Linked DNA regions of Lonchura striata. The protein of the gene in region 1 binds, or shares a complex with, the protein of each later gene. Links are inferred from orthologs where the notes say so. Each region holds a gene or a part of one and is shown on either strand. Other genes may lie near its edges. The genes, in order: EDN1, EDNRA and EDNRB.

The links.
Region 2: the proteins of EDN1 (region 1) and EDNRA are in contact, whole or in part, in a cryo-EM structure (PDB 8HCQ), measured with the Homo sapiens proteins. The link is inferred for Lonchura striata from reciprocal best matches to the Homo sapiens genes EDN1 and EDNRA. Residues at the interface, in NP_001403492.1 of Homo sapiens: Cys53, Ser54, Leu58, Asp60, Lys61, Glu62, Cys63, Val64, Tyr65, Phe66, Cys67, His68, Leu69, Asp70, Ile71, Ile72, Trp73; in NP_001948.1 of Homo sapiens: Tyr68, Gln72, Thr73, Lys74, Tyr129, Asp133, Ile136, Asn137, Lys140, Leu141, Gly144, Arg145, Trp146, Gln165, Lys166, Val169, Glu220, Phe224, Val227, Phe229, Tyr231, His236, Lys237, Thr238, Cys239, Met240, Leu241, Asn242, Gln252, Lys255.
Region 3: the proteins of EDN1 (region 1) and EDNRB are in contact, whole or in part, in a cryo-EM structure (PDB 8XWP), measured with the Homo sapiens proteins. The link is inferred for Lonchura striata from reciprocal best matches to the Homo sapiens genes EDN1 and EDNRB. Residues at the interface, in NP_001403492.1 of Homo sapiens: Cys53, Ser54, Cys55, Ser56, Ser57, Leu58, Glu62, Cys63, Val64, Tyr65, Phe66, Cys67, His68, Leu69, Asp70, Ile71, Ile72, Trp73; in NP_000106.1 of Homo sapiens: Pro88, Pro89, Ile94, Glu95, Ile157, Asn158, Lys161, Glu165, Asp166, Trp167, Val177, Pro178, Gln181, Lys182, Val185, Phe240, Ile243, Met245, Tyr247, Leu252, Ile254, Leu256, Leu257, His258, Pro259, Lys270, Lys273, Leu277, Trp336, Leu339.

The regions. Positions count from the first base shown.
Region 1 is NC_134603.1:91,208,590-91,218,703, reverse strand, and holds the start of EDN1 (endothelin-1), read left to right. Parts: upstream 1-6,389; 5' UTR 6,390-6,615; coding exon 6,616-6,679; intron 6,680-6,860; coding exon 6,861-6,999; intron 7,000-7,957; coding exon 7,958-8,116; intron 8,117-8,383; coding exon 8,384-8,491; intron 8,492-9,238; coding exon 9,239-9,377; 3' UTR 9,378-10,114. UniProt on the Homo sapiens protein: Endothelins are endothelium-derived vasoconstrictor peptides. Probable ligand for G-protein coupled receptors EDNRA and EDNRB which activates PTK2B, BCAR1, BCAR3 and, GTPases RAP1 and RHOA cascade in glomerular mesangial cells.
Region 2 is NC_134606.1:62,837,149-62,846,566, forward strand, and holds the start of EDNRA (endothelin-1 receptor), read left to right. Parts: upstream 1-4,929; 5' UTR 4,930-5,140; intron 5,141-7,967; 5' UTR 7,968-8,045; coding exon 8,046-8,447; intron 8,448-9,418. UniProt on the Homo sapiens protein: Receptor for endothelin-1. Mediates its action by association with G proteins that activate a phosphatidylinositol-calcium second messenger system. The rank order of binding affinities for ET-A is: ET1 > ET2 >> ET3.
Region 3 is NC_134604.1:48,593,774-48,603,872, forward strand, and holds the start of EDNRB (endothelin receptor type B), read left to right. Parts: upstream 1-6,052; 5' UTR 6,053-6,093; intron 6,094-6,321; 5' UTR 6,322-6,360; coding exon 6,361-6,804; intron 6,805-10,099. UniProt on the Homo sapiens protein: Non-specific receptor for endothelin 1, 2, and 3. Mediates its action by association with G proteins that activate a phosphatidylinositol-calcium second messenger system.

The DNA.
Region 1 (10,114 bases):
CTCCACTCCCTCATCAATTTCTGAGGGGCCTCTGGACCAGTCAGCAACTTGGATTAATCCCAAGCTATCTCTAGACATTAAGAAGAGGATAGTGCCTAAATTTAGGACAGTCAGCACCTTAGGACCTTTTCCATACTCCAGAGGACAATTCAGACACCAGGTGAACCAAGATGTTAATCTGGTTTAGAAACCATATCTGCTGTCTGATGGCATAAGTACTGTCCTCCATGCTTCAACTCCCAGCTCTGGACACAGGGACAGCATCACTGATTTTTTGACAAGGCCACGGGAAAGTGACTATTATTAAAGAACATGAAACTCTGAAATGCCCAATTGAAAGGAGAGCAGTATCAGTTAGAACAACTGCTCTTAGTGTTTTTCTTCAGAAGATTTTCTAATTGCAAGCATGGGCTTTGAGTTCCTTGCAAGCCAGACTTGCCAAGAAGTGAGTAAACAAACCTGATAAAGCACATTTTCTTCTAACAGTTATTTGCAAATAAGTGTTCTGTCATATGCTGCTGTATTCACATAAGAGGTTGTATACAAAACCAGATCTGGTTTTCTGGTTAGTATTTTCCTTTCCTTTGCTAGAGCCTTCTATTGCAGTCCTTCCACTAATCTCTTGTACTTAATGATGTTAATCTTTATGTAGTTAAACTCTTACTTGCGTAACTCTTTCCTAAGAGTCTGATTATATATACATGTAACCTCTTACCATCTTTTCACACTTTTAGAAGACATAGTTCATGCTGTCTGTATTTTGAACTCGAGTTATGGAAAGGAGCTGAAGATATATTTCTTTTTTTCTAAAGAAAACTCAGGAGTCCAAGCATATCTATGAGAATATATCATAGTCTTGTGGAATCAATCCAGCATTTTGTGTCTGACATGGCTGAAGGTGGATGTGTCTGCAAGAGACCAGGCATAAGACAGAGAGATCATTCTTTGGAGTATTTCCCACTCTAAAATTTTCTGGGCCAGAAGTAAGGTCTTTTTCTTTTAACTTCTACTAATGTTGAGAATAACATGAGAATTGGGTCAATTAAAAAAATAAATCCAAATTAAGCACCACCATACAAATTGCTTGTAGCACAAAGGGCTATGGATTTAATTCCTTTGGGGCCTCTGTGTGCAGGATCCTGAGCTACCACAGCAGAAATGATCACCCACCCAAGCCACCCTGACACCTCACATGACACGCCCTTGGCAGTACCAGGCACCTCTGTCACCTTCACACGGCCTGGGTGGGAGGGCTCAGGTCACCTGCCCATATTCCGCCCACAGAGCGGAACCTTTTGCCATGCTCCTGGGATTCTGTTTGCTTGCTGCCCCTGCACAAGCAGATGCAGGGTGAAAGATGGAAACAGGAGGAACTGCTACAGCTTGCTGGGACAGGGGGCAGCCAAGTGCCACCAGTGCCACTGTGCTTCACTTCAGTGGGAAGTGGACACTCTTTCTCCTACAATATCATGGCAGAGATAGACACTGAAGTAAGGGAGAAGTTCCTGTTAACTCTCACCCAAAAGTTATATGGATTCTTTATTCCCAGGCTATTTAAGCCTTTCCCTTTTCCCCCCTGATGTTTCCCTCATTTTAAAGATGACTTTACTTCCAGGGAAATATTTTCCTGTTGTTTACAGTCCTTTGTTGTGGAAAGTATAAGTAGGAGGAAGGTTTCACAACAGGTTTCATCCTCTGAAACCTGAATCTCTGCAAACCATCTTACTTTTTTTTCTGACAATAACAATTTTAGCCCTGGGAGAAACTGTGAACTTTGCTCAGTAAAATTCAGCTTTAAGTGGAGTTTGATTTTTGTATTTTAAATGGTATTTAGTCATTGCCACATGATGTCAGGAAGTGCATGGTCTGGACGTGCTTTCTGATATAGGCTTTCCTCCATCAAGGGTCATATAGCTGCAACTTTCCTCCCTAGCTTAAATGCAATTTTGTATGTGGAGTGAAGTTTGGAAAGAAAATTATCATTGGTGGTATTGGATATGGTCCATTTGGGCCACATATTACTAACATGTAGGGCTGAGGTTGCTGGATCACTGGCTGTCCTTATTCCTCTCCTCATCACTTTAACAAGTCCACAGGTATATTGTGAGACAGGCACCCATGCTAAACCTCACTAACTGGAGATGGGGACAATGAAGAAAGTTGGTTTGCAAGAAAATAGACTTCTGCCTAAGGACTCTCACAGCTGTAAGGAGAATCAAATACATTATAGAGCTGGGTAGTGACAGATAAGGTAATTTTCAAGAGCTCAAATTATCATGGAATCCTAGAATGGTTTGGGTTGGACGAGACCTTTAAGATCATTCATTCCAAGCCCTCTCCCACTAGACCAGTTTGCTCAATCCCCATCCAATCTGGCCTTCAACACTTCCAGAGATGGGCATCCACAGTTTCCCTGAGTAATCTGTTACAGTGCCTTACCACCCACACAGTAAAGAATTTCTTCCTATTCTAAACCCACCCTCTTTTCAGCGTACAGCTATTCCCCTTGTTTAATCTCTATATGCCCTTGTAAAAAGTCCTTCTCCAGCTTTTTGCCCCCCTTGAGATATTGAAGGGCTGTTCTAAGGACTCCCTGAAACCTTCTCTTCTTCAGGCTGAAGAACTCTCTCAGCCTGTCTTCACAGGAGAGGTGCTCCAGCCCTCTGAGCATTTTCATGGCCTCCTCTGTATTTGCTCCAACAAGTCCGTGTCCTTCCTGTGCTAGGGATCCCAGAGCTGGATGCAGCATTCCAGGTGAGGTCTCACCAGAGCAGAGTAGGGGGGCAGAATCACCTCCCTGGACCAGCTGCCCACACTGCTTTTCATGCAGCCCAGAATACAGTTGAATTTAGGGGCTGGAAGCATATGTTGCCAGCTCACATGAAGATTCTTATCCACCAAAACCCCCAGTCATAGAATCACAGAAAGACAGAATATGCTGAGCTGGAAAAGACCCATCAGGATCATTGAGTCCAACTCCTGGCCCTGCACGGGACACACCAAGAATCACACTGTGTGCCTGAAAGCATTGTCCAAATGCTTCTTGAACCCTGTCAGGCTTGGTCCTGTGACCACTTCCCTGGGGAGCCTGTTCCAGTGCCTAACCACCCTCTGGATGAAAAAAATCCCAAGTCCTTCTCCTCAGTGCTGCTCTGAATCCATTAATCTCTCAGCATGTATCTGGGCTTGGGATTGCCATGACCCCTGTACAGGATCTTATGCTTGGCCTGTCTGAACTTCCTGAGGTTTGCATGGACCCACCTCCCAAGCCTGTCCAGGTCCCTTCTGCATGGCATAGCCAACTCTTTGACTTTCATGTTGTGTAAAAAATTTGTGTCTGGTATAAAAAGGGGTACAGGCAGATGGGACAGCCCCTAAGTGGAAAGTAAGGCGAAAGAGGGGCAGTGAGGAAAGTAAGGGGACGAGTTACGCAACTTTCACTTAATTGAGAATAGTGTTTCAAATCTGCAGAAAGCAGCATGTTGCTCCCCTTGTTCCCTAGACAGAAAGGCACAGTTCTACAGTCTCCTTTTATTGTTTTGCTGATAAGCAGGCATTTCTTTCTGACACTAAACAAAATGTCCTTTAGAAAAGTCGTGCCATGGCCTTTTCCAGCTGGAACATTACAACCACAGCCTGGCTGGTCAGCTGAGTTTCTGCTCCTTAACACAATGTCTCAGAGGTGGCTGCCCAAGGTGCTTCAGCTAGAAAGGGACAAAGCCTGATGCAGGAGCAGCCAGCTTCAGCTCCTGTTCCACCCCTTGTCCACATGGGCAGCAGTGCAAATAATGGTGCAAACTTCCCAGCTCTTGGGGCGATCTGGCTTGGTGTGTACTGGGACGACTCATGTAGTACCTGACTTTGTGTTTCCATCCTGCAAACACTGACTGCTACCCAAAGCTTGGTCCTCTTCAGCTGATATTATAAGGCCCCTATTGTGACTCCTATTGTTGGACTCCTCCTTTAAACAGCTTTAAAGTGGGAAAATTTTCCTTTTTTAATTCCCAAAGGGGATTTCTGTGTAGCACAAAGCTGATCCTGGTACCTCCCAGTATCCAAGCAAAGGTCAGGATTACCCCTTCCTGGGGAAACCCACCTCCAGGCCTGGCAATCCCGGCGGCCTGAAATGACCTAGCTGGGCCACTGCTAACAAATGGAACATAAGTTTGTTTTTGCATTACTCAAGCAACGGGAATAGCTTGATTCTGGTTAGTCTCAAGATCTGAAAGTGAAGCTAACAAAAATTGCTGAATCAGAGGAAATGGATCTCTGACAACAATAATATTTATGATTTCTTATTAAAAATTGCTGAAGATGTTTTTGTTAATAAAAGAAAAGTAGAAAAGAACACCATCTTCAGAAGTGCCTGCAATATGTTTGTTCCTTGTTACTCAGAGGAAGCATACATGCTGTTTTTGCCAGCTAACAAAATACTTTCTAACAAGGTATTCTGACAAGGCTGAAAATATCTTACACCAATGTGAGTCATTTTGGCTCCAAGTGCACATCTTAGAAAAAGGAATCTCAGGAAAAAAAATCTAAATAAGCACTGGCATGAAAGATGGTCTTTAAGTGCCAGGCCTGGAAAGGCTATGCATATTTGTATTAAATACAGAACGATTGCTATCTTTCAACCCACACAACTGCTTCATGTTTTTTCCTTTTCCCTTTTTTTTATTTTTTAATTTTTTTTTTTATTTTATTGTTAGTGTCAAGAAAGAAAAAAGAGTCACTAAGTTTCTTCCCTAACTTTTGGACACTGATAAAGTTCATTACTTCAGAGGGCTGTGATTACTTTTTGTATGTAGCTGTGTGACCCCTGCTGGCAGATTCTTATCATGACTGCAGCAATTCAAACACACATGTACGGATACATTGGCGTTCTGGGAAGTCCTGCCCTACATACACAAAGAGACATAATACACAAAACAATATGATCCCTGCTCTGGAAAATAAACTCCCACGCTGGAAAGTTGTGAAAAAAAATTTGTATAACCTAGCTTTCTCCACTCACAGATGTTTTACAGGGCAGTTTTTAGAATACCTTTGATAAATAGATATGACCATCTCAGGATGGGGCCACTGGTGTTTATTCGGCATAATGGTCTAAATGTTCATTATTGCTTGGAAAGCCCCTACACTTCATCCTGTTAGAAGCAGGGAGGTTACACCGAGGAAAGGATTAGTCTCCACTTGCATTCCATTCTTGTACTCCTTCTCATACCATCTGCTAACATCCATTGTGGCAGAGAGGATACCAGCTAAATGGACCTTTATTCTGACTCAGCACGGCTGCAGACAGTCTGTCCGCTATGATACAGGGGCACAGTATAATCTGAGACTTTAAAAAACTGGCCATTCACCTGCCAGACCACAATGGAACTTGCACTTAACAATCCCACTCTTTGTGATATCCAAGGTCATCTCTATTATTACAGCACAGTGCACGGAAATACCACAAATACCAAGAGAGTCTTATCTATTTATCATAGGTGAAACTGGCACGCTTCGCAGCGCGACGGCTCCACGGCGGATCACAGGCATTTTGAGTTCACTTAATTAAGTTTATAGTCAGGGGCTGGCTCCCTCGGTTGGGACCTCAGTGGATTCCATGCATATCTCTATCTGCGATGGCCCTGCTGCAGCCACTCCTCAAGCGTCCAGCTTCCACACTGACTCTGCTCTTTGACAGAAGGCTGAATACACACGAATATGCCAGGAAAAAGACTTTGCCAGAATTAGTGGTGAGAGCCAAAGGCGAAGAGTAGGCACAGATCTTCCCTCCTTCCCTCCCTACCTGGCTTTACACACCTGCTCACACCCAAAACATGCTACGTTTAGCACCTCGCCCTACCACGGCAGAAAAGGGAGATAGGTTATACCCCAATGAGCCACCGCTGCTGCCAAGCTCCTGAGACCCCAGAGCCCACCTGGTAGGGTCTGAGGGGAGCAGGGCAGGGTCCAGCGCAGGCAGGCATCCATCATCCCGCATAAGGGACCCCCGTGTCCCACTGCTGAGTTCTCCCCAAGGCAGGAGCAGCAGGTGGAGCCCAGAGCCTCGAGTCCTGGAGCCCTGGAGCCTTGAATCGGTGAACCTTGAAGCCCCGCAGCCCTGAGTCTTGAACCCCTGAATCTCCGGATCTCGGGATCCCCGAATTCCCGAATCCCGGAGCCCAGAGCCGCCCTCAGGTGCGACGCGCGGGCAGGGCGCCCCCTGGCGGCCCCCTGGCGCCCCTCCCCGCCCCCGGGGCGCCCCCGGCCCCCTCCCGCCGCCGCCGCCCCCCGCTCTTGAAGTTTGCAGGCGATTTCCTTTCCAGCCCCGGCCTTATCTCGGCCCGCACGTTGCCGCGCGGTGACTAATAGGAGAATAACATTGTCTCGGGATAAAATAGCGCCGGGGCTGTTTACCCGCTCCATGGGGGTTCGCTATAAAAGGGCGCCGGGGACCGCCGCGCCAGCCAGACGCGCCGGGGCGCACCGAGCCGCGCCACGCAGGGCACCCGCCACGGCGCTCCGTCCCCACGCCGGGAGACACTTTATCCGCTTTTCTCTCGCCTTTTATTAATTTTTACCCCGTTTCCCCTCACTTCTTCCATCCGCCCTCCGCCGCCTGCTATGGATTATTGCCACATGATCGTCTCGCTGCTCTTCGTGCTCTGCCCGGGGCTGCTGCCGGCAGGTAGGTGCCGGTCCGCTGCCGCTCGCCTTCGCCCGGGGCCGGCCCCGCGGGGGCTGCGGGGTCGCAGCCGGGCTCCGGGGAGGGCTGCCCGAGGGATGCAGCGGGAGGGGATGCGCGGGTGCCTTGCCTTGCCTTGCCTTGCCTTGCCGCGGGTGCTGAGCTCTGCCGCTCCCTCCCGCAGCCCCCGGAGCCGAAGCGGACGCCGCGCCGCCCCCCGCCGCCGCGCACCGCCGCGCCCGGCGCTGCTCCTGCTCCTCGCTGATGGACGAGGAGTGCGTCTACTTCTGCCACCTCGACATCATCTGGATCAACACCCCCGAGTGAGTGGAGTGGAGGGGTTTCAGCAGTTCCCCGGTGCCGGGTTCCCCTTTGGTTAGGAAGAAAGAGAGGGAGGTGTGAAGGCGAAAATTAAGAACCACAACCCCCCTGCAGAGATGGGAAGGGGAGGAAGAAATAGTTGTTTGCACAGTTTCTCCTACTGCTTTACTTTCCTGCTCCTACTTTTCTAACACACTTAGCAACGAGACTGCACCAGAAGAAAGCGAGCAGGATTTGGCCACACAGATCGGGCAGATAGCTCCTAATAGCCCTAGCACACCTGCCTACCTAAAATCTGGGCAGCGGTATTTCCTTTGGGCGCTGCTCAGCAAAGGCTGAAGGATACTTTTCACTATGAATCAGAATCAGACAAAATGCCAAAGGCTTGATTTTGCCAGCCTGCATTTGAGCAGTTTTCTTTCTGACAAGGAATATTTTGACACCGGGTGGCTCTAGCTGCCTTTCACTGCTCTCTGCTGCAAATTAATGCATCCCACGTGTTAATAGGATTATGCACAGTATCCATTTCTGTACTCTCCTCACCAAAAAGTAGTGAGCCAGAGGCTCACCTAAGGCTGCAAACACTTGACTAGTGATTTCTTCTGCTGCTGGGTTTCCTCTGAGAGAATCTGTTCTTCACTTTCACTGCTTCTTTCAGTGTTGGCAGTAGCCAAAGTTCAAAGAGATGAGGTTTTATTGCTTTCTATTGCATAGGGAGGCACAACAGCCTTGTGAAATCACAATTAAAAGGTCATTATCCTTGTCAGTAGCCATGCTAATGAATATGTTGCAGGATCATCAGAGGCATTTGCATGGAAACTGTGACTAATGAGGCATTCCCAATCCCACAGCCTTTACTCGTGCAATCAATGTTGTTGATAAGATTGCCCAAAATACCCCACAGTGTTTTGAAGGCACAGAATTATTTAAATGACTTTCATGTTGTCTCTTTGATCATAGGAAGACTGTTCCATATGGTCTGGGAGGCCCTTCTCGACCCAGAAGATCACTGAAGGACATGGTGCCGGAGATGCTCACTGAACCAAGCAGCAGATGCCAATGTGCCAACCAGAAAGACAAGAAATGTCTGAACTTCTGCCAGGCAGGCAAAGATCTCTGGTGCGTCTCTTGTTGCTACTCTTTAAAAGGCAATGCATGTGAAAGGGATGGATTGTGGTGCACTTACTCATTTTGGCACTTGCTGAGCGAATACTCTCCCCAAAGCCTTGCCTCCTACCCGAGTGCTCATACTTTTATGATCCATACTATGGCTTGGCCCAGAAAGATTGCTTATTACATGCCTTGAGAAGTGGTTGATGAGATGCCTCACCTTGCAGACTGCAGACTTGGCTTTTTTTAACAGCAGAACCTTTTCCCTTTTAACAGGGCTCAGTCCACAGTGGAGAAAACCTCACGGCACCGCATCAAAGCCGGCAATTGCTTTGGACCCAAATGCATAAACCAACAGCTTGTTGACAGCAAGAAAATGAAGCGGTGAGTTTCTTCTCATCCTGTTGTAGTTCCCTAGAGCAGCAATAGAGAGCACAGTTCACCTGCCTTCGGGTCATCCTGAGCTTAGCTGGTGGTTTCAGCTTGAGAGTTATGGAGGAATCAGTGAGGATATTTTGGGGCTTTTCTTCATGCTCTGGGTTTCTAGCTTGTGAGGACACAGGCGCTGAGCTAAGCACCCATCTGTCCTCTGCTTGCATCCAGTGCTCAGCCATATTCCCATGGAAAAGTATGGAATACAGAAGTTTGCCTGTACTAAAGAAGATTCTTTAGTGCTCCTTTCACAAACAGAACAGGACTTATGGGAGCAGGCAACCTGATGATATTGAATGAGACTTAGGGCCTGGAAGTCTTAAATAATTTTTTGAAAGTGGAGCTTGCTTACTTGAAAAATGCACCTATTCATTGGAAGTAGGATCAGGTTTACCTAAAAGAAACAGCACAGATGAAACATAAAAGAAACACTGGAGACCTCCTGACTGGTTACTTAAAGAAGTCTAGGGCATCTATGTTTGAGTGAATATTTTAATTTAATGTTTGTATTGAAATTATGAATACAACATTTCAAGTATCTTAAGTTATCCTAATTCTGAGTTATAGCGAACAGCAGGTTATTAGGATCCCATGGTAGAAATCTAGACTGAGGTTTATTTAAGCAAAAACTAAGTTCTTTCACACTGGAGATGCATCTTCATTATCACAATATTAAATGTACATTTCCTGATTTTTCAGGCTGGAAGCCATTGGTAACAGCATCAAAGCTTCCTTCAGTATCGCAAAACTGAAGGCTGAGCTCCAGAAAGGGCGAAAGCTCAAACACAACAGGGCGAACAAAAGGCAAAGCGTCCGGGAAAGCCTGAAAGCATCCTAGTGGTGAGATCACCTGAATCTTTCTCCACAACGCTTGCTGACAAAGCATCGCGAAAACTCTGTCTTGACTCCAACATTCCATGATGGCAAAGGCCCCCTCTGTCCAAGTGTCTGCACAGTGGAGCAAAGTGCTAAAGAAGTCCTGTATTTGGAGATATACTGACAAAGGATTTTATCATCTTGGAATTCAGGTGGATGGGTAGAAGGGCTGAAGGGAAATCTGCAGTAACATACAAGAAAAGCCATCTGTCTGAAGAAACATTTGAATACTGCTTCTGGAATGTTACCCATCGATTGAGCAGCTTTTGGGGTCTACATCAAAAGCATCTCGCAAGGAAGACCTCACAGATGTGCTTAGCAAGGACAGAAAGCAAGATCTGAGTGTATAAACTTCAAAGAACACTACCTTTTGATTAAAATGCAAAAATGAAAGCCACAGTTCTACTTTAATCAGGACTGACTGCATATATACATGTCTACCTCGCGTACTGTTTGTTGCACTCCTGCTAGAGTATTTTTACACCTTGTTATTGCCTTTACTAATCAGCTGCAACCCTTTGCCTTTTTTCAGAAGTATAGTTTACTTGTACAACCAGAGTTATCTGAATGTGGGTTAGGCACTCTGATTGTTTGCATAGTCAAAGTCCTTTGGCTTTGGATACCAAAGGGACCCTTCAACATAAAATAAAAGTTATCGAGGACACTACTAAGTTTCCCATAACAAGGATATTTGGTCAA
Region 2 (9,418 bases), on another chromosome or scaffold:
TCTATCACAGAATTTGTGTTCTGCACAGGCTCACATCTGCAAATGCAGATTGACACTTTTGTAAATTATGGAAGATTTTCTAATCTAAGACATTCTCTTCCTCTTGCTGTTCTTTAAATCAAAATTTAATTTATATCTGGTTTTCCTTCCTTCTGTTTTGTTTTTCTTTTGTGTGCTTTTAATCACTCATTGCACAATTTCACTTATTGCATGATTACATAACAGGCATCTTCTGTGACATTTTGCTATTTTATTCTTCCTCATGTATATATATTTTGCTGCATACTGAGGGGCTCATGTAGAAATATTTTTATCTGTCATCATTGAAGACTGGTGTTTTTGGAGCAGATTCCTTAGCTCCCAGCTAGTTTCAGGGTTGCCTGAAGCAATGGGGATGAAGATCCCCAGATGCTCCCTACAATCACTCATTTTGCTGTCTTGGCCTCAAAAGTGAAGAAGAAAATAATTTCTTAACTTTATAGAACTAATATTTAAAAAGTACAACCTTTATGAAATATTTTAGTTACAATCACCCATTATCCCATTATCCTTTTGGACAGTATCCAACTTGCCACAGGACAATAGCTTACAAGCACTCTTTTTTTTTTTTTGTGTGTGTGTGTGTGTGTGTGTGTGTGTGTGTAGTTCATGCTCAATTTAACACCACCTCAGTTCCCAATACAAACAACATAACTTGAAGAATTTTGAACACCATAATTCCAGAGCTCAAGTCAAAGTACTCTTGACATAATGGAAGTCTCACCTGAATCATAGATTTGCAGACTTTTGAGATTAGAAGAGACCCTTAGAAATCATCTGGCCCATGACCCTGCTCAGAGCCCAGGCACCCAAAATTGTGTCCAGCTGAGGTTTGAATATCTTAAAGGATGGAGATTCTCCAGCATCTCTTGTCTCCCTGTGCCACTGTTTAATGATCCTTAAAGTGAAAGTGGGTTTTCCTGTATTCAAATTTAATTTATTGTATTTCAAGAATGCATTTCTTGTGTCCTTTGCCTCCTCTTCTGTCACTGAGCTACAGGGAGAAGAGTCTGGTTCTCTGTTCTTTACTGCCTGCCAACAAATAGATTGATAAGATCCAGACCTTGAAAATTAGGGTTTCCATCTATGGAAATGAAGACCAAACAGCATTACCTCTCCCAGTACATCTTTTCTGAAATGTTCTTAGTCCATCACATTTAACACAGTAGGTAAATGCTCCCAGGGGAATCTGAAATGCTCAGCGATTGAAGGGAATTAACAACACATATTATTACTTCCCCAATCTGCACACTAAAGGCCCAGGAAGCTCACTTCTTATTCAAACTATTCCATCAAGATTCTGCAAAATTTAGATACACCCAATCCACAGTTCCTGACTAATATTCCCTTTTGGGGTACAGTAACTCCTGCAGTAGTTCCTGTATTAATTGTTTGGATCCATGGTCAATTTTGTCCTTTAAACTTCAATCCTTTATCCCTTTTGATTCTTTTACAGCTTCAGGTTCCCATAGTCCAAGGACAGGAACATTTCAGTGGTTCTAATACAAGCACCTTCCTACTTATAAGAAAAAGCTAATACAATAGTATTCTCACTATAATTCTCTTTGAATTATAAATTCCTATTGTAAATTGCCAACATTTTCTATTGACATGAAGGTAACAAATGAGAGACAGAGAAAGGGGGAAGATGGAAGGAGGAAAGAAGAGGGCAAGAAGGGAGGGGGGAGCAAGACAGCCTTGCCAGAAACAGGATTTATTTGTGCTAAGCCCATAAATAGAGCTACAGATGCGGCATTAGTAAAGATACAATTTAAATAAATTATCTGCTGGGAAACAGAAATGTTATGCAACAGAAGCAAAAAACTGGTTCACTGATCACTGGAATTAATAAGCCCTGAGTTTCAGTGAATTTAGATTTTCTAGAGGGTGCCCTTTTTAACTGAATTCTTCTAAAGCAGCTGCATAGGTGCATCTTTTGTGGAAGAACAGGTAATCTACACAAGATAGAAATATTCTCTATGGTTTGCATGATTCTTCTTTTTGTTCAGTGAGGTGCAACTTCTGATTGAACTGTGGTAATAAAAGTTGAGAAACCTGCACAACAAGTGTTCTTGAAATTAGCATGATTCCATGAGAAAGTTTTTGATTTGCTGAGTTCTTGTTCACTAGATCAAGGTATTAAATTCAAAGTGAAACAGTTATCCAGTATTGTAACCAAAGTATTTAGGTGTATTTTTCCAAATTTTCCAAATGGCTTCTATTTTCAATTGTTTGTATTGTTTCTGATAAAAACTGTATCAGAAACCTAGTGAAAGAATTCAGGATAATTAGATATTTTCAACCTTCGTCATTAATAATTTCTGATTTTCTGAGTATGAGAGATCAAAAACACACCAGTTGACTGCTTATGGAAATGCAATTATAGACAATAAATGCCTGGTTTTGATCTTGGTCTTTTGAATCTCAGCAATTTGATTTAGGACTCCACAACCTGATGATCATATGTTTCTATTTCATACCAAATCTGGGGAGGTAAGTGGCTTAACAGGTAATACATTTGCTTAGAACACCTTTCAATCCAATAAAATGAAAGTCTTTCATTCTAATACCTGCAGGCTTCATTGAAATCAATTGCTTTACAAAAGCTGATATTTGCGAATAGTCTTCTTGACTCCAGCTGCAAATCCAATTGGATTTTTTTCCTAATGAGATTGATACATTGCCCCTACTCTGAATCTCCAGAGTTATGCAGGACAAGATAAGCAGTTTGTTGAAGACACAAAACAGAAGAGGTCAGAGGAAACACTTTCACTGTGCTGAAACTGGTACAGAATCCTCAGTCAAGAGCTCTTCCCCACATAGGCCAGCAGTCCTACAATGATGGTGAAAGTGTCTCTAAAAGATGAAAATATCTTGGCATAAAGAACTGCATTTTATCACTTTTCCCAGTAGCTGGTGTCAGCTGCATTTGCAACTACAGTTTTTGCATAATTTCTGTGTGAAAACTTCCTCTTCCATGTTACTTTCCTGAACCATAAAAGCAAGAATCACTAAATATAATTTTTGAATTTATCTTAGTTTAAGACAGATATAAACTGAGCTTTAGACACCTAGAAGATTAAAGACAGAACAAAGGTTCATTTAAAAAATCATCAACAGTAAAAATAACAAAAAAACATGGATCAGTAATTTCTAATAGCTAATACTATAATGTGGGTTGGCAGTAAAAGAAGCAGTTATAAAGGCTGTCTAGAAATATATCTTTAACAGAATAGTAAATTCGATATTTTCATTATATTTATTTCATGTAATAGTAAATATAGTGATGTAAATAATCATGTTATTATGAATTGGAATAACAAATACGTGTTTGAATGAGATCAGAAATAAACTTTTTGCTTTGTTTTGTTTTGTTTTGCTTTTTTTTCCTTTTTGTTACAGCTCTAATTGTTTAGACATAAAGGTCAAATCCCAGGAAGGGAATTGGGTCTTAACAATGTTTAGAAAAGACACAAGATATTTAAGAGTTGCATCAATAAAGCACTCCATAAAGTTCACATGCTCTTCAATAACAGCCTTTCCAGCTCTTCAATGTTTTTTTTCCAACAACTTACCACGAAGATGATTCTTGACCAAGCAAATCATTAAAACTAAGCATCTATTACCAAATTGTAGAGACTTTTTTCATAGTATATGGATAATTTAGTGGCTTATTAACTTTTATTGAACTTCACAGCAACCTGAGATTTTGAATTAAACTTTCTACCTGATTTGCAAACAGTAGGCTCCTTGTGATTCTCAGCTGAACATGTATGTTCCTTCATAGATCCTGTGCTTTGACACTTCATTTAACTGAGATGACTTTCTAGAAGTAATAAAATACTGCTAATCCAGTCCACCCAGTTGCTGGTTTTTCCTGTTCAAGATTCATCAGATTATTTCAAACATATTACAGAAGCATACTTTTAACTATGCAAAACTGAAAAAGTTAAAAAAAATTCCTACATTATTTAGTGCCAGATATTTTAACTTTTCAGGCCACAAGCATCACATTTTTTATTGTTCTTTCCAGTTTGCTTTTGCAGTTTTAGGACGACATATTTTTACATCTTATTTAGGAAGGTTGCCTTTTTTTATTCAGAAGAAGCCAATATATGTTTAGAAAATAATTTCTGTGGTACAACCAGATGAAAACTTACCAGGAAATGAGAAACCTGAAACGATTCAACAAAGGACTCAAAATTTCACAAACTTGCTAGCATGAAAGAAGGGATTTTGAAACTGTTTCCTGTACAAGCTGCTGCCTCTGATACGCATTTTTTTTCTCACTGTGAGAACATATCATTAGGTATAAGTGAACTTCCCACTTTTTCTGCACAGATTTTTTTGCACCTCTTTCTTGGTAGAAGAACAGTAATAGGAAACATAGGAATGACAGAAAATGCCTCACCCTTATTATCCTTGTAAATGCAACTAAAATATATTAGCAAGACATATCCTGGATGGATCAAAGAAATTTTCACTCAGGAGCCGTTTCTGCTTACGGATCCAGCATTTTTGAAACTCTCTCACACACAATTTTATTGATTGTTTCAGAGACTGATCCCGGCCAGCCCCGGGGCAAATGCATAGCAAAAGAGGTTTATTTAATCAGATTTCCCGTGGAAATCTGATTTTGCTCATGGATCGGTTTTTGCTCATGGATCTTCTGCTGTCTGGTGAGATCGGGCAAAGACCTTGCTGAGAATCCTGCGTGCCACTAGCAGGCAGCTACAGCAGTGGGTCCCGGGGCTGTGGTTCAGCTGAGTGCAGCGCGGCAGCCGTGCTCGGCTTCAGCGAGGGAAGGAAGGAGTTAAGGAGCTCCGTGTTCCCCTGTGCCCGGGAGGCAGCCTTTGTGTCTAACATTGGCGGGGGCTCCGTTCGGGCTGGAGGCTTGTTTTAATTGGGGGAGGGGGCAGTGAAGAGGGGACGCTCCGACCTCTTCAGTCTGTCTCTTTCGTTCACTGATTCTGCGGAGGTGGGGATTTTCAATTCCACCCAGTCAGACGCAGGCAGGAGGATTTGGTAAGACTATCCCAGGAAAAGCCACTCCGAAGGAATTCTCCGAGGCGGCGGCGGCGGCGGCAGCCCCAGCATGAGGGTGAGGCGGGCGGGGAGGCGGCGGGGGGAAATGCGCGGGATGCTGCGGGAGCACATCGCCGTCCCACGCCGGGAACAGCCCGGCCCGGGCCGCGGGCACCTTCCGCGCCGCTGGAAACGCCCCGGACAGCGATTCGGTGCCGGTGGTGCACCTCTGTGTGCGGGTGTGAGCGTGTGAGAGAGAGGAAGGGAGAGACAACAAGAGACGGGCATAAGGCAGCTTGGGGGAACTGTTATTCCATAAAGTTTAACAATGTATGGATCTTGCCGGAGGCTCTCTATATAGGCTGCAGGGCGGGCAGCCCTGGCTTGCCCGTGCATATTGGGATTGATCCTTCGCTGGTGAAGCCAGGATCCTTCTCGCCTCGGAGAAGGAGCAGCGGGCGGCTTCCCCTGGGAACAGCCCAGAGAATCCCCCTTGCCGGCGTTGTTCCCTTCAGCGCCTTCCTGCCCTGCTCCGCTTCATCCGCTCCTGTTCACATCGCAGCTGCCTTACACTCAACAAGCACCGCCAGCGTTTTAGCTGGTCTTTGGAACAATTTCATTTCCACTAGTGCGGTCTCTTGCGAACCTCGGCATGGGAATTTTTCAGGCTTGATACTCCAGGCAAGTCAGGAATTTAGTCCCCTGCATCCGCGGCTGCTTCAGCAGCACTGCAGGAGCACACGCACAGCACGGGCGGGTGGCTCCCACATTAACAGAGCACCTCACACCCTCCAGGTACCCAGGCTGCTTGTGTGAAGGACAATCCTAAATTACCTTATCACAGAAAGTTATCAGGGATGCCAGCGTGTTACTCATACGAGGCAGGCTGTATGTTATATTCTGCAGCAAGATAAATACTGTAAAAATATGCACAAAGGAATGAAGAGCTGTCAGGAATCTATAAAAAAGTACCCTCAGTAGTTAGCCTATTAAAAACTGTCTAGTTTTTCTTATCGGGGAAAAAAAAAAGTTTCTTCCGGGAGAGGGAAGAGATGGTAATTGGAAATTTTGTTGCCAGCTTTGCAATGCTGGCAGCATGACTGCCATGCTGCCACAATGTTTATATGATATATACATCAAATTTTCACAAAAAGGGTCACAAAGTAAGGAGGAAACTAATATAACTACTAAAACATAGGGTTTGTGGGTTCTGTTCATATCTTTATCGCATATACTTGGAAAAGCCATTTAATACTGATACATATTTCCCATTTGTAAATTGAGGAACCGTAGTTATAGAAAACAATACAAGTATTAATCTTTGCCTGAAAATAATTACAGTCAAACATCTCTGTTATTTGTGGTAAGATTTCGAAACCTAAAGTGAACACACTTGCACCATGCTACTGCTAAGTGCTCTGAGATACCATCCTAACCAGCATTTAATTTAATTAAATAAAGAAGGACTTACTATTTAGTATGTTTAACTTTGAAATTAAGTCCATAGGAACTTGTAGTTGGCCATTTCCTGATCTCAAATACACCAGTAAAAGGATTGAAAGGTCTGTGAGGGACAGCACTCTGCATGCCAGACAGGAATAATCAGGTTAGCATTGCTGCTCTACAGATGTACTCACACACTTCCACAGACCACATACAACAGGAGCCTGCAGTACTAGTAAATATTTATACTCTGACTGCTCCAGAAGTACTATCAGTAAATTTTCTCCCTCCTTTTCTGGTAAATGTCTTGCTATAAACTCTGACTTAACAGCTCCACAGGGAATTAAATTAGGATTCATTTATTTAAAAGGATCCTCCCAAATACTTCAGGCGAGTCCCTGGAAATCAGAAAGTTATAAATACTTTATTTTCTACTCTTCCTTTGTCAACACTGCAGCACTTTGTCTTGTTTTGCAGACATAAGCCATGTTAAAAAAAAAAATCTCCATCTTAAATTAAACCAAGACTTCAGGAAAATGGACTTAAATGGCATCCTTAGATTCACTGGAGGTTTGGTATCTACAAACCCTGTGGCAGCAGTTACACACAGGCAGTCACACTTATTAAGGCAAGATTCTATGCTGCTTTCTTCCCTACCTGGAAATGTCATGAGTTGTTGCTTAGAATATTAAATAAATTATCTTTTATCCTTAAAGAGCTTCATTTTTTATTATTAACATCACCGTGCCTAAGTACTCAGCATGAGTTGCAATTATATTCAGGACCAAATGAGAAAGTTTGAAGGTATTTTCTTGGCCAGAGGTCTATCCTAGGACTATAAAATCTTCCTCCTGATAATTAGGGTATTTGGATCTGGTCCAGATTTTGATTTGAAATACATGCCTTTTCAGTTTTCATTTGAAATCCAGGTAATAAGTCAGACAAAAATAATATAAAGTATAATTGTTGCGGTACCTCAAAAAATACTCAGAAAATTGATGAATTTACTACCTTGACTTTTTAATGTAGTGCTTTTACCTTTAATTTCAAAGAAAAAATAAAAAGTTCTTATTTTAGCTAAAATACCATTCAGCAGTCTCCAAGTGAGGTCTACTTTTCCTGCAAGACTATATATTTAAACAGAATTTCATCCACCTTATTTTTTCCATCCTTGTACAAATTCTGTCTCAAGTTAACAGGGTTTTGTGGGGTCTTATTTGCATAAGCTATCACTTACTAAAAGGAATTTTTTGTGTTCATCTCTTGTCAGACAGGTAATGGGGGTAATCTAGATTTCAGAGTAGCACAGTGAGTATAAACAGGTGTTTATACGTGTGTGCTGCAGAGGTTGAACATTCAGATACCTTCCCTAAGTCAAAAACTGGATGTGACAGACTACCTGTTCTACTGATTATGTGGGTTTTTTCTTTTCTTTTTTTGCTTACGGTTTCTCTCCGCAGGTGAAAAAGTGAGAAGTATCTCACTGAAATACTGAAGAAAAAAGCATCTCGCTGAATTTGCTCACTGGGGACTTCAGGATGGAAGCCTTGTGTTTAAGAGTTTCCTTGCTGCTGCTGCTCCCAGGGTTTGTCCTCAGTGACAGCTCTGACAGAGACGTTTCCAATCAGAGCGACTCTGGAAATCCCCTTTCCACCTTCTCAGGGATGGAATCCAGCGTTCTCCTCACCACCATGCAGCCCCCGGTGTCCAACCAAACTGTCAAATGTTCCCAGCAGACTAAAATTGCTGAAACTTTCAAATACATTAACACCGTGGTATCCTGTGCTATTTTCATCATTGGGATGGTTGGGAATGCAACTTTGCTGAGGATCATTTACCAGAACAAGTGCATGAGAAACGGCCCGAACGCACTGATAGCCAGCCTGGCACTGGGAGACCTTATCTACATTGTCATTGACATCCCCATCATCGTGTACAAGGTAGGAGGACATCCATCCCAACTGCAGTTCCTTACAAGTTCCCTGGCTGTTCTCTGTGCTTCCTCTATTTAGTGCTCTTTTGTCAATGAATAGTGCAATTAAGGAAACAATACAACTCCTTTTTGTTCGGCAACAAACCCCTTGCTCTCAGGTCTCACCTCCATCAAGAAAAAGTGTATCTCCCATTAAAGGTGATATAGATCTTAGCTCCTAACCAAAGTGTGGCCTTGGGCATTCCACAGGAGCTCTTCATTTCTCATAGCTGCTACAGCTAGCAAAAGAATTTATGAGGGAAGGCTTTTTAGAAACTGTTCTCCTCCTTGATGAACTAGCATGCTATTTTTATATTATCCAATCCTTACTTCATATTTTTACAGAAAATACTCCCTGTGATATGTGGGCTTCATATTATGATTTTGAAGGCAGAGATTACATCAGTAAAGTTGAGCCTTAATGTTTTCATTTAATATTTATTAATAGCAGAGTCTCAAAATTATTCCATTTATATCACAGATCATTTCTGAAATATTAAATTTCATCTGGATTGGTCAAAGTGTAAAAAGGCTCCTCAGCAATTCTTTTATCTGGTATAAAGTTATCTTGTCCCAGTGTTTTGATTTTCGAATTTAATTAAACAAAGCCATAAAGCAGTGCTTTTTCTGATGCAATTTATGTTTACTAATAGAATTCAAGCCAGAACATGCTTGGATGAACAGAACTGAGCCCTTTTTTAATATATTTCATTGATATTAACTTATCTTAGAAAATCATCAAAGAATTTTGTAATCTGTCTCTTTGTGTACCGTAGACAGGTGCATAGCTGATAGGATATTTATCTTTTTCTTTCTTTTTTTTCTGTGTTTCTGTTTGTAAATAAAACACTAAGTCATATAATATATGTTATATTATTAAGAAAAAATGTTCACATTTTTAGCCCTTAAAGATTCTAATGACTTTTATTTACGTGTGTT
Region 3 (10,099 bases), on another chromosome or scaffold:
TGCTCTGTTAAGGGGTGAAAGTGGATTGACTGTACCAAATTCACACTAGTGTCAGCTGGGTACCAGAGTTCTGGTCTCCTCAGTCCAAAACAGATACAGAGTGGCTGGAAAGACAGCAGTAAAGAGACACAAAAATTATGACCTTCACAAGTCTTTTCCAACCTCAACCCTTACGTGAATCTGATGGTAGTGTACGTGGCTACCAAACCTACTCAACTGAAGTACCAAAGACAGCAGGAGAAAATGTCACACGAAACCACAGTGATTTAGAAATCAAAATGGATTTCAGAAAAACAGAGCAAAACAACTCCCATGCACATGGGAGAAAAAAAAGACGACAAACTAAGAGAAAAGTCCATCATGTAGCAACAGAGTGTTCTGTCTTTTATGGGGGACTTTGAGGTTGCAATACCTGTAGGGGTTATGTTAAAGGATTATTTTAATAGTGACCATACACCTAAACAAAAGGACCCTCTTAGGTCTTTCAGCCCAGATTCCCCAGTCTGTTAAAATAATATGATATACTTTTGTAAGGGAAGGAAAGTTTTTGAACCCAGGAAATCTTGGTACGATCAACAAAAAGTCAGATCTTAAGGCTCCTTCCAGAGGCCACCTTCTACAAATAAAACAGCATCTGGAGATAGAATTCCTGTATTACCTTGGCTGACAGCATACAATCTTCTAGCACTAAGTATAGATCTGTGTAAAACAAGATATTAACAATGAGCTTTTGCCATATAAAAGGAGAAGACATTACTCCATTACAACATTTTTAAATGCTAGAAGGTAGATTTTGTTGCAAAATGCACAAGGTAACAATAACACATGCCTGTTTTCAATATATTAAGGGCTGTGTTTGTTAACGTCCTGAGAAGACGTGCATCTCTAGTAAATACAGAATGTCTACATAGAATACAAATCCTTCTGCAACACTTTGGGAAATGTAATTAAAGTAGTCATGTCATCAAACAGCCACATTGATTTGAAAGAGAGTGGTTTCAATTAATTAGATCTGGGCCTCTCAAACACCTCCTGCCAAAAATGTGGTTTCCAGTAGAACCAGCAGTGTTAGGAACTTCCAAAAGAGAATAGCCAGCAGGTTGCTGACCTGCAGAAGTCAGTGCCCTAATGTTCTCTGAATTGAGAGCTGATGACTACAAAGATCTTTCCATGGCCAACACCCAAAACTGAGAAAATGTTCAAGCACTATTTTCATTCTCAATCCAACATTTGTTTAAAATAAAAGTGAGGAGCTTCTTCAAAAGTCTGATCAGTAAGGACCTACTTACACACATGAGATCTTTTTATGTCCTATAAGAGAAAATCTTAGAGTCCAAGGTCATGACATAAATTGTAGAAAGACTTTTCAAGCTCTCTGAGCATTTGAGTAGCTTCCAGTCAACCACATAAACAGTACTTCTACCTCTTTGGTATATGGCATCTAAACATTATCTCTTGCTTATTTCCCTAAGTCTGTCACTCGTCTTAGAAATGGAAGTGTCTTCCTCTCCAATGCAAGCAGAGGATCCCAGGGACTATTTTATTTGTTAGGAATTGCAGCCACGTTACTCCCTGGAAGGAACCCCAGTGCATTTTGGCAAGAACCAGCTTTCATCACCACTTAGGCCTGTCCCTACAGTAATAGATTTGATTTTGTAGCTAGGTGGAACCATCCTGTGCGGAGTCAAGCATGACGTAAACAAGAAGCCTGTGGACGGCCAGCTCTATGGCACATGAAATCTCTCTTTTAATTCACAGCATGGATTTCCTTATTCTGAGGATTCTTAACTGAATTATTTTATTGGTGTGCAGCTTATCAGTACATATTAAAGTGAGAATGTGGTGGCAGATTTTCTCTCTCCAGATGAACACAGTGTTTGTATTACATAGCCACACTTGCAAAAAAAGCATGGATAAATGAATAACAGCAACTCTTGCTGAAGTCAGGCATTTTGTCTGGATATGAATTTAATCCAGATTTGAAAATCTTGCCTGGAGTAATCTTTGTGTGCAACATAAACAATGTATGGCCAGTTATCATCTCCCCTGTATAAATGCATACATACCTTACACAGCAGCTGAAACATGCAGTTTTTTTTGACAACTGATCTTATCTAGGCTTCCTGGGCAATTCTGATTCAAACTTCTGTTACAGCTGGATTTTAAAAGTAAACTTGTTCACCTTTATTCTATTGAAGTATCCTGGGGAAAAAACAAACATGCAAAAAAGGTTTCAATAATTTCCATAAAATTCAGAAATGCAATTCTTTCAAACATGCAGCTACTTCCCCAAACCCATTTCGGTAACTTTTCCCTTAATAGACAATAATTCAGTGTGCTTTATACCTCAGATTAATTACATGTTGCTATATCAGTTTCAGAACTGTAATTTACCTTGTGATTTCTTTTGCTGCCGCTGAATAGGAAGAATGAGGGGAATAAATGTAATAAGTGACATATTGGTTTTAATTTTAGAGTTAGATGTGAAGAAAAATTTCAGTTATCAACCAGTCTGACTCAAAGGCTTGAACTTAATTCCATTTAAAAATTCCCCAAACTCTTATTAAAAAGACTATAAAAAACAAATGCTTTCTTCTCAGTACAAATTTTATTCCCTTTCATTGTTTTGATCTTGCAATGTAATCTACATTAAAACAGGTATCTGTATCCAAACAATGTTTCATTGGTGCTATCTACTGGTAATGTTTTATTGTAACTTTTTATGATAATATTTGTTTCATTATTTCAAGAATTAAGTGTATGTCAATACAGTGCAATTGATGGCCAACACTATTATTTATCAAAGTTGCTTAGCTTTGTAGAAAAAGACAAAGTATAGCTACACATCATACTAAAAAGAATTCCATATTTTTGTGTAAATTTAGACTAAGGAAAAAAAATGAGACAGATAATGTCTAGTACATGAACATATGCAATTACAAATCTGCATTTTTAAAATTATATCTTAATATCTCAATTTCTCAAAGTACTTTTATTCTTTCAAAATTGCCATTGGTAATGTTTCTATAGTAACTTCTGCAACACAGAGGACTATTTTCTGACTTTAATTGAACTCATGCATCTAATGAGTGGCTCACACTGAGACAGCTATTCTTTCTATTCATCCCAGACTTGACCCAGTTAGTGGGCAAATTTCCACCAGACTCAATAAAAAGAAAAGCAGGCCTGATGAGGCAGACTTCTGAGGCTGCTTTAGTTGCTGAACAACATAAACAGAAAGTTAATGGGATTTGCAAAAGTACCTGCAAACTCATAACAAAATTCTCATTGATTCAATAAAGTATTATATGAATTAAAACATCCAATCCTCCAATGTGTCTCATAAGCTTATTAATTGAAGGACTTTTTGATGTCATAATTGTAACCACTTCTTGTGATTTATATTGCATGTAACATAACAGTCTTTAAAGTCTTTCTGTTGTTAAGAATCATCCCAGTGATGATTACAAGTTATCCAGTCTTTTTACTTTGTAAATGGTAGTCCAAATTACAAAAACAAAAAAAGTTTGAACATTATCAGTCATTGATGGAAGTATTGCATCAGACTTATAATTAAAATAGTGACTGGCTAATTCATATAATTGTTAATATCTGGTGTGATGAAATGGAGTGGAAGTGCAGAATACAATAAAATTAGTAACAGGCATTCTGGAGGATCAGATTTTCCTGAACTTTCCATAGGACAAGGAGTATTTCTGCTATCTAGAAAAAAAGAACCAAAAACAGCCAGACACGTTAGCAGCAGCTTACATAATCTTATATAATGTATTACATACAGTTCAGTAAGGAATTTCTTTCATTGCTTAATTAGCAGAGGCCACTTAGAGGGCAAAAGTCTATTATATTTACAGATGTTTTTTCTTGTTGCAATCTAAATTAGCCTTGTTAGTTGATCTTCATTCAAATTACAGTTAATTTGCCAAGATATCTGATATGGTCTTGGTATTTAATACAGTACTATCTTAATCCTCACATAAATATATGCAAATCTGTGTTTTCCTTTAATTTTCATTAATTAAAGCATTTATTCCACAGCATATGCTGGGTTTTATTCCTCAAATATCTGAAAAAAATACTAGAAACATAAAAGGGTGGCAAATTCAGCTAGTTGCAGCCAGAAGCAGCTTAGATGCTTTGTCACATGGACTCATTTTGTGCAACATTAAAGAGTAATGTTCTTCAGGTATCAGCATCTGCCCAAAGTTCTGTATATACTATGTTTGTGTATACTAACATTAAACATTTTAGAAATTAAATTGCTGTTACTAAAACTTCTGGAGCTGGAGTAAGTGACAGCAATGGAGATGCCACTAGTAGCAAACATCTTATGGAGTTGTGATAATAAAAATGTTAGCAAATATATCTCACTGTATTGACAATATATTTCTTGATTGTCTGGAACAGCATAGAAGCTTTTGAGACTTATCTGGAACCTTGCAACTAAAAAAGCATTTTGAGATGAAAGCTAATGCTGTGTTAATTGGCAAGAGTTTCTAAATCAATATTGCATTTAGCAAAACATAGTTCACTTATGGATTGCTGAATTGGAAATTGAGGAAATGCAAACTTGAAAACTGAAAAGACTGTTTAAATCCCCAGGGCTCAGAATATAATATTGAATTCAATGTTCATACTTTTATCTTTGGGCTAGGAATCAACCATGGTGTATAAAAATGAATCATGTTGCACAACACAGTCTTGAAAAGCGTGAACTTGGAAAGATCAACCTTCTAGCTGGAGTGCAATCAGCTTCCAAGTACCCTTGCACAGTTTAGAAGGGACTTTAATGGCTTTATTCCACAAATACTCTAATTTAAAATGGAAAGAAAAATTACTGTGACATAAAAGAGGAAATTGATCAAGAATGATTGAATGGGAAAGCTGTTTAATAGAAAAGTCTTTTAAACAAAGATGGAGGTGTGAATAGTAGCGCAAGGGTATGTTAGCAGGAGATGCTGGAAAATATTAGATAAATCAGATCACCAATTTTTGAAAAAAAGCATGTGGTTTTGAGTGTTTTCCTATATAGGTTTGTCAATAATGTAGGTGAGCATGTTGCTTCTGTAACTAAGCATGTATATATTCAAGATTTAGCATCCAGAATGATTTAAGAAAAAAGAACATCAGGGAGATGTACAGAGAAATACTGAAAAACAGTTTTAAATTCAACTCTAGACATGCAATTGTGTCCACCTTGCAGAGGCTCTTCTTAGTCTCCACAAAATCCTGTACAAATCTCCTTCCTCCTTTCCTTACGTTTCACCGAAGCGTGCAACGACTGGAAAGAGCTCGCTGAGATAGACGCCTTGCTAAGGCTGCCCAAACCGAACTGCAATTTCAGGGCAGTCAAAATGCTATTTCTGATGTAAGAAAGGTTTTGTGAAGCGCTTTAAAACGTGGCAGTAAACTCGTAGACGTTGTCAGGCAGCTTCTTCAGCGTGTGCGCCCCTCGGGCTGTGCAAGGGGGTTTCTGCAGCGGGGAAAATCCCGTACCCAGCTGCTGGGAGTGAGCCTCGGATAGGACAGAGGGGAAGTGCTCTCTTTTTCCCAACTGTCCTCCAGCAATGCCCATAACTCTTGTAACAACCCTCCTGAAAAATTGTTTCAAAGCCCGAAAAGTCTGCTTCTTTAGGCTGCCAAGTCAGCCTGGTACAAGACAAGGGGGAGGTGGCAGGGCATTTCGGCCCGGGGGGAACTCCCGACAGCGGTGATGGGAGGCTCCGCGGGGCCGGCGGGCGGGGGGCTGGGCCGGGCTGCGCTGGGGGCGGAGGACGCGGGTGGGGTCTGGCTGTGACTGATGGGCCAGATGCGGTTGAATGTTTTAGAAAAGGGGGGGCCCTGCGCCGCCGGCACGACTTTGGCCGCGGGGTCGGGTGTGCGGCTGACGGACACCGGGCTCTGCCGCCAGCGCCGGTCCCCGCCGCCTTCCCGAGCGGAGCGCCCATCGCTGGCGAGCGGCGGCAGCCGGGCCCGGGCGGGGACACGCAGCCGGGGCGCGGCGACAGCCAGCGGAGCGCGTTTGCCTTGCCTGGCCGGCGGGCGGCGAGGATCGGCTCGGCTCCGCTCGGCTCGGTGAGCGGGAGACGCGCGGGGCGACGGCGAGCAGGTCCGGCCGTCGGGGCTGCTGGCTACGGCCGCCGCCGCGCAGCTTTCAGCCCCGGCGCTGCTGTGCCGGCCGAGCCGCCCGCAGCGCCAGCACCGCCCGAGGACACGCAGCGCCGCGGCCCGGCCCCGGGGCAGCGAGCGGCGGGCGCGGTGTCCCCGCAGCTGACGCCCTGTCTGTGCTCTCTCTCCGCGCAGGTCGGCGCCGACGGCGGCAATCTGCCGTGCCGCGCAGCCATGCCCGCCCTCCTCCTCCTCCTGCTGCTCCTCAGCTGCCGCGCCGCCGCCGAGGACGACGGCTCCCTGCTCCGGCCGGGCCCGGGCAGGCAGAGCGCGGCCGCCGCGCCCCCGACGGCCGCGACCCCCGCGCTGCGCGGCGCCGAGCACAACGCGTCCCGCCCGGCCGCGCTGCCCCAGGGCGCGGCGCCGGCCGGAGGGCGGCCGCGCTCCGCCTCGCCCCCCATGTGCACGGGGCAGACGGAGATCAAAGAGACTTTCAAGTACATCAACACGGTCGTGTCCTGCCTGGTCTTCGTCCTGGGCATCATCGGCAATTCCACGCTGCTGCGGATCATCTACAAGAACAAGTGCATGAGGAACGGCCCCAACATTCTCATCGCCAGCTTGGCCCTGGGCGACCTGCTCCATATCATTATCGACATCCCCATCAATGTCTACAAGGTGAGGAGGGGCCGAGGATGGATTCGGGAGCGGGCGTGGGGGTGCGGCGGTCACCCTTCGGTGCTCCCTGCCGGTGCCCGCAGATGCCCGTCCCCGCCGCAGGGAGACGCGTCCCTTCCTGCCTGGGAGACACCCGTGAGTTCGCCTCACGACAAAACCCTGCCGGAGGGTGGTATTCTGGTCAGATGTGGCCGCAGATGGCACCCTCTCTATGCCTCATCCCGTCCCTCTCAGTCTTCCAGGCTGGGAATGGGGCAGAATGGAGGTGGCCAAGCTCTGAAAATCACCTGGAAACAGGTGCTGTCGCAGGGATAAATGAAGTAAATGCAATAAATGTTCCGTGGGCTGGTCGAGGAATGGAGGGGAGGCACAGAAAACCCTCTCCTGTGGGTACCACTTGGTCGCTTGTGCTCAGCTGCGGCAGGCTTGGTCATGATACTTTACATGGGTCTGTGCAGTCCCTTTTGGCGTGGGGGCTTTTCTAGGAGGAGCCAAGATCGTTCAGCTAGCGGTTTTATACATCTCTTGGTTGGGAGGCACGATGCTTTCCTGAGCTGTGAACCCTTTCACCCTTTGCCAGTGTTCCAGCCTGGGCAGCGTGAGAGGGAATGAGCCACACCTGCACCCCTCACACCTTCAGTAGTCTGTACTTTGACTTGATAGGACTTGCCATAGAGGGGAGATAACCCTTGTCTTCTCTACCCAGCTTGTGCCATCCATTTGTCCTAAGGAATTAACTGAGCAGTTGAATTTAGGCTCTAGTTGTAATCTAGCACTCTTTGAAGAAATACTGGAAATAATAGAGCTCCTTCTGCTTTCAATGTTTATAGTCCTGATCCTTGAGCACCCATCAGTGACTTCATAAAGTGAACAGAAGAGTCTTCATCTATCATCTCCTTTTCACTTTGTATGCACGATTCTAAACTAGGGTCTGTTACTTGTACTTTTAGAAAGCCATGTTGAAGGGACAGATTTTGAATCTATAATAGTTATCCCAGAAGCTGCTGAGATGAGAGAATATTCTCTATTCTTTTAAAGTATTACAAAGCAGGGAATGTCATCATTGTGTTAAATTCATGATCCAGTTAATTTGGATTACATGATTGTTCTCAGATTTGAAGTTTTAGTGGTTTTTATACTATACGCTCTCTTAATTCTTGTGAGAGGAGTGTACTCTTTTGAATGAAGGTGGAATTTGGAAAACAAAATAACTACTTTAAAAACATGGTTTTGTAAAAAAGTACATTGAACAAAAATATTATTTCCATCTGTTCTCAGAAAAATCAAAAAGATTAAGTAAAAAACAGCTGTATGAGACTTTGTAATGTCAGTGATAATTTCAAAGTTAATGTTAATATGTGATAATATTCCTCAGTTCTTATCTTGATTGAATGTCACCAAGGGTATCATTATGCGTAGGCTGGAGCCTACTCATAGGCTTTTTTCCTTGTAGGATGAATAAAGGGTCAGATTACTAACCAATAAATATTGCACCAGCTGCAAGTCTAGTATTTTTATTGTGTTATTGATAATGCTAGGAGCTATGCAATACTCTCAGGTGCTAAATCTCCCTCACTGCTAATCATCTTACTGAAGAACCCACAATCACTTTATATGATCCCTTATAATAATGAGTGAAATATTTTCTATTTTAAGACAGAATTTTTGAATAAAGGCAAGTTTAAAAAAACAAGGAAAAAACACCTATATTTATTTAATCAAATTTTGAGGGCAGTTTGAGTTGATAACTTTTTATCAACTCTACATCCCATTTCATTCCAGAGCAACAGGGAGAATACATACAGTAATGCAATAAAAAAACTGGCTTTGATCACTCAGCAGTACGAGAAGCAAAGGCTCCCTCAGTAAATCAAGTATACTTAGCAATTGTAACTTGCAGTTTGAAACAATTTAAGACTGCATGAAACAGATCCAGATTCAGAATTTGTTACCACATCATCAGTGAGGCAGCTGCATGAAACAGTGTGAGAGAATTTCGTATGTTAATAAAATGCCAGCACTTGCCCTAGAAAGTGGGAAAGTGTCCGTGAATGCTTTCCAGACAGACCCGTAGGAGACAATTCAAACCCTGCACTAGAAGAAGCTTTTTATTAGGTATTAAAAAGGATAACTGCAAAAGATGTCCCCTGTGACTATTTAAGTGAATATAAGTAGCTGAAAAAGTGCACAAAGGAAAATTGACATCTCCTAAACCAAGGGTATCTAAAGAAAAACAGGTGTTACCTGGATAGGGAGGATAATGCAGTCCAATGCATAGGATGCTAATTAGTCCACTGCATTCCTAATATGTCACACAGTCAGGAAACTGGCTATGAAATAAGGGCTTGAAGAGCATTCAGTTCCAGCATGTAGAACCTGGCAGATATTTTTGGCTTTCTGGGTCCTGGGCCCTGTCTGGGTAAATGGTCTGGCTTTGCCTGGATGTTTGAGCTGCAGAATGGAAAGCAGAGCAAAGTCTGAGACAGTCATTCTGCAGTATGTAATGTTTTGGCAGTGTAGAAACTTTGCAAAATTGCTACTAATTGGATGTGCAGGTGATCCTATGCTGCTCCACTGAACAGAATAAGTCCTTGTTAATTTGAGGCTGCAAACAGCAGTTAAGGAGCAGAAGGATGGAGTAGATGGTCAGTGAGCTTTTTGTGTCCTTCTCTGCACTTAAACTTTGGAAGCCAAGACAGTGGCAGCTTGTGCAGCTGCAGTCCTGGACAGATTATGCTGACTTTCCCAAGTCTAAGGCACCAAAACATCAGGACTTGAAATTCTAAACTTACACTAGCTTTGCCTCTCATAGGCTTAAAAAACCATAATCACATCACATACTAACATGCTTTCTCTTCTGGTACACAAACAACATCTCTCTCTTATTTTGTAATATTTGTTCCTGTATATTTAATCAAATTTATTGTCATATCCCAGTGGACTTTTAACAAGGGGAGCAATCTAGGCTCTGAACATTATTGTGGGGTTTTCCAAACTCTGACTACCAAGAAATGTCTGAAGAAAAGTATCTACCTGGCAATATTGTCATAGGTTCCTTGTTCTCAGAGCGAAATGGAAGAGTGCAGAAAAATATTAAAGGGAAGGAAAAAAAATCTAGTCTTTATCCAAGCCACTAATCAAAGGCCAGAGTCAGCTATGTAAGCACTGATTTATTTTCACTAACTTTATTTAGGGATTACATAAAAATTATGGTTAACACAATATGGCATTATCAAGCACTGGAAATACAAGAAAGACCAGATTAGGCACTCTATATACCATGCAGACACAAATT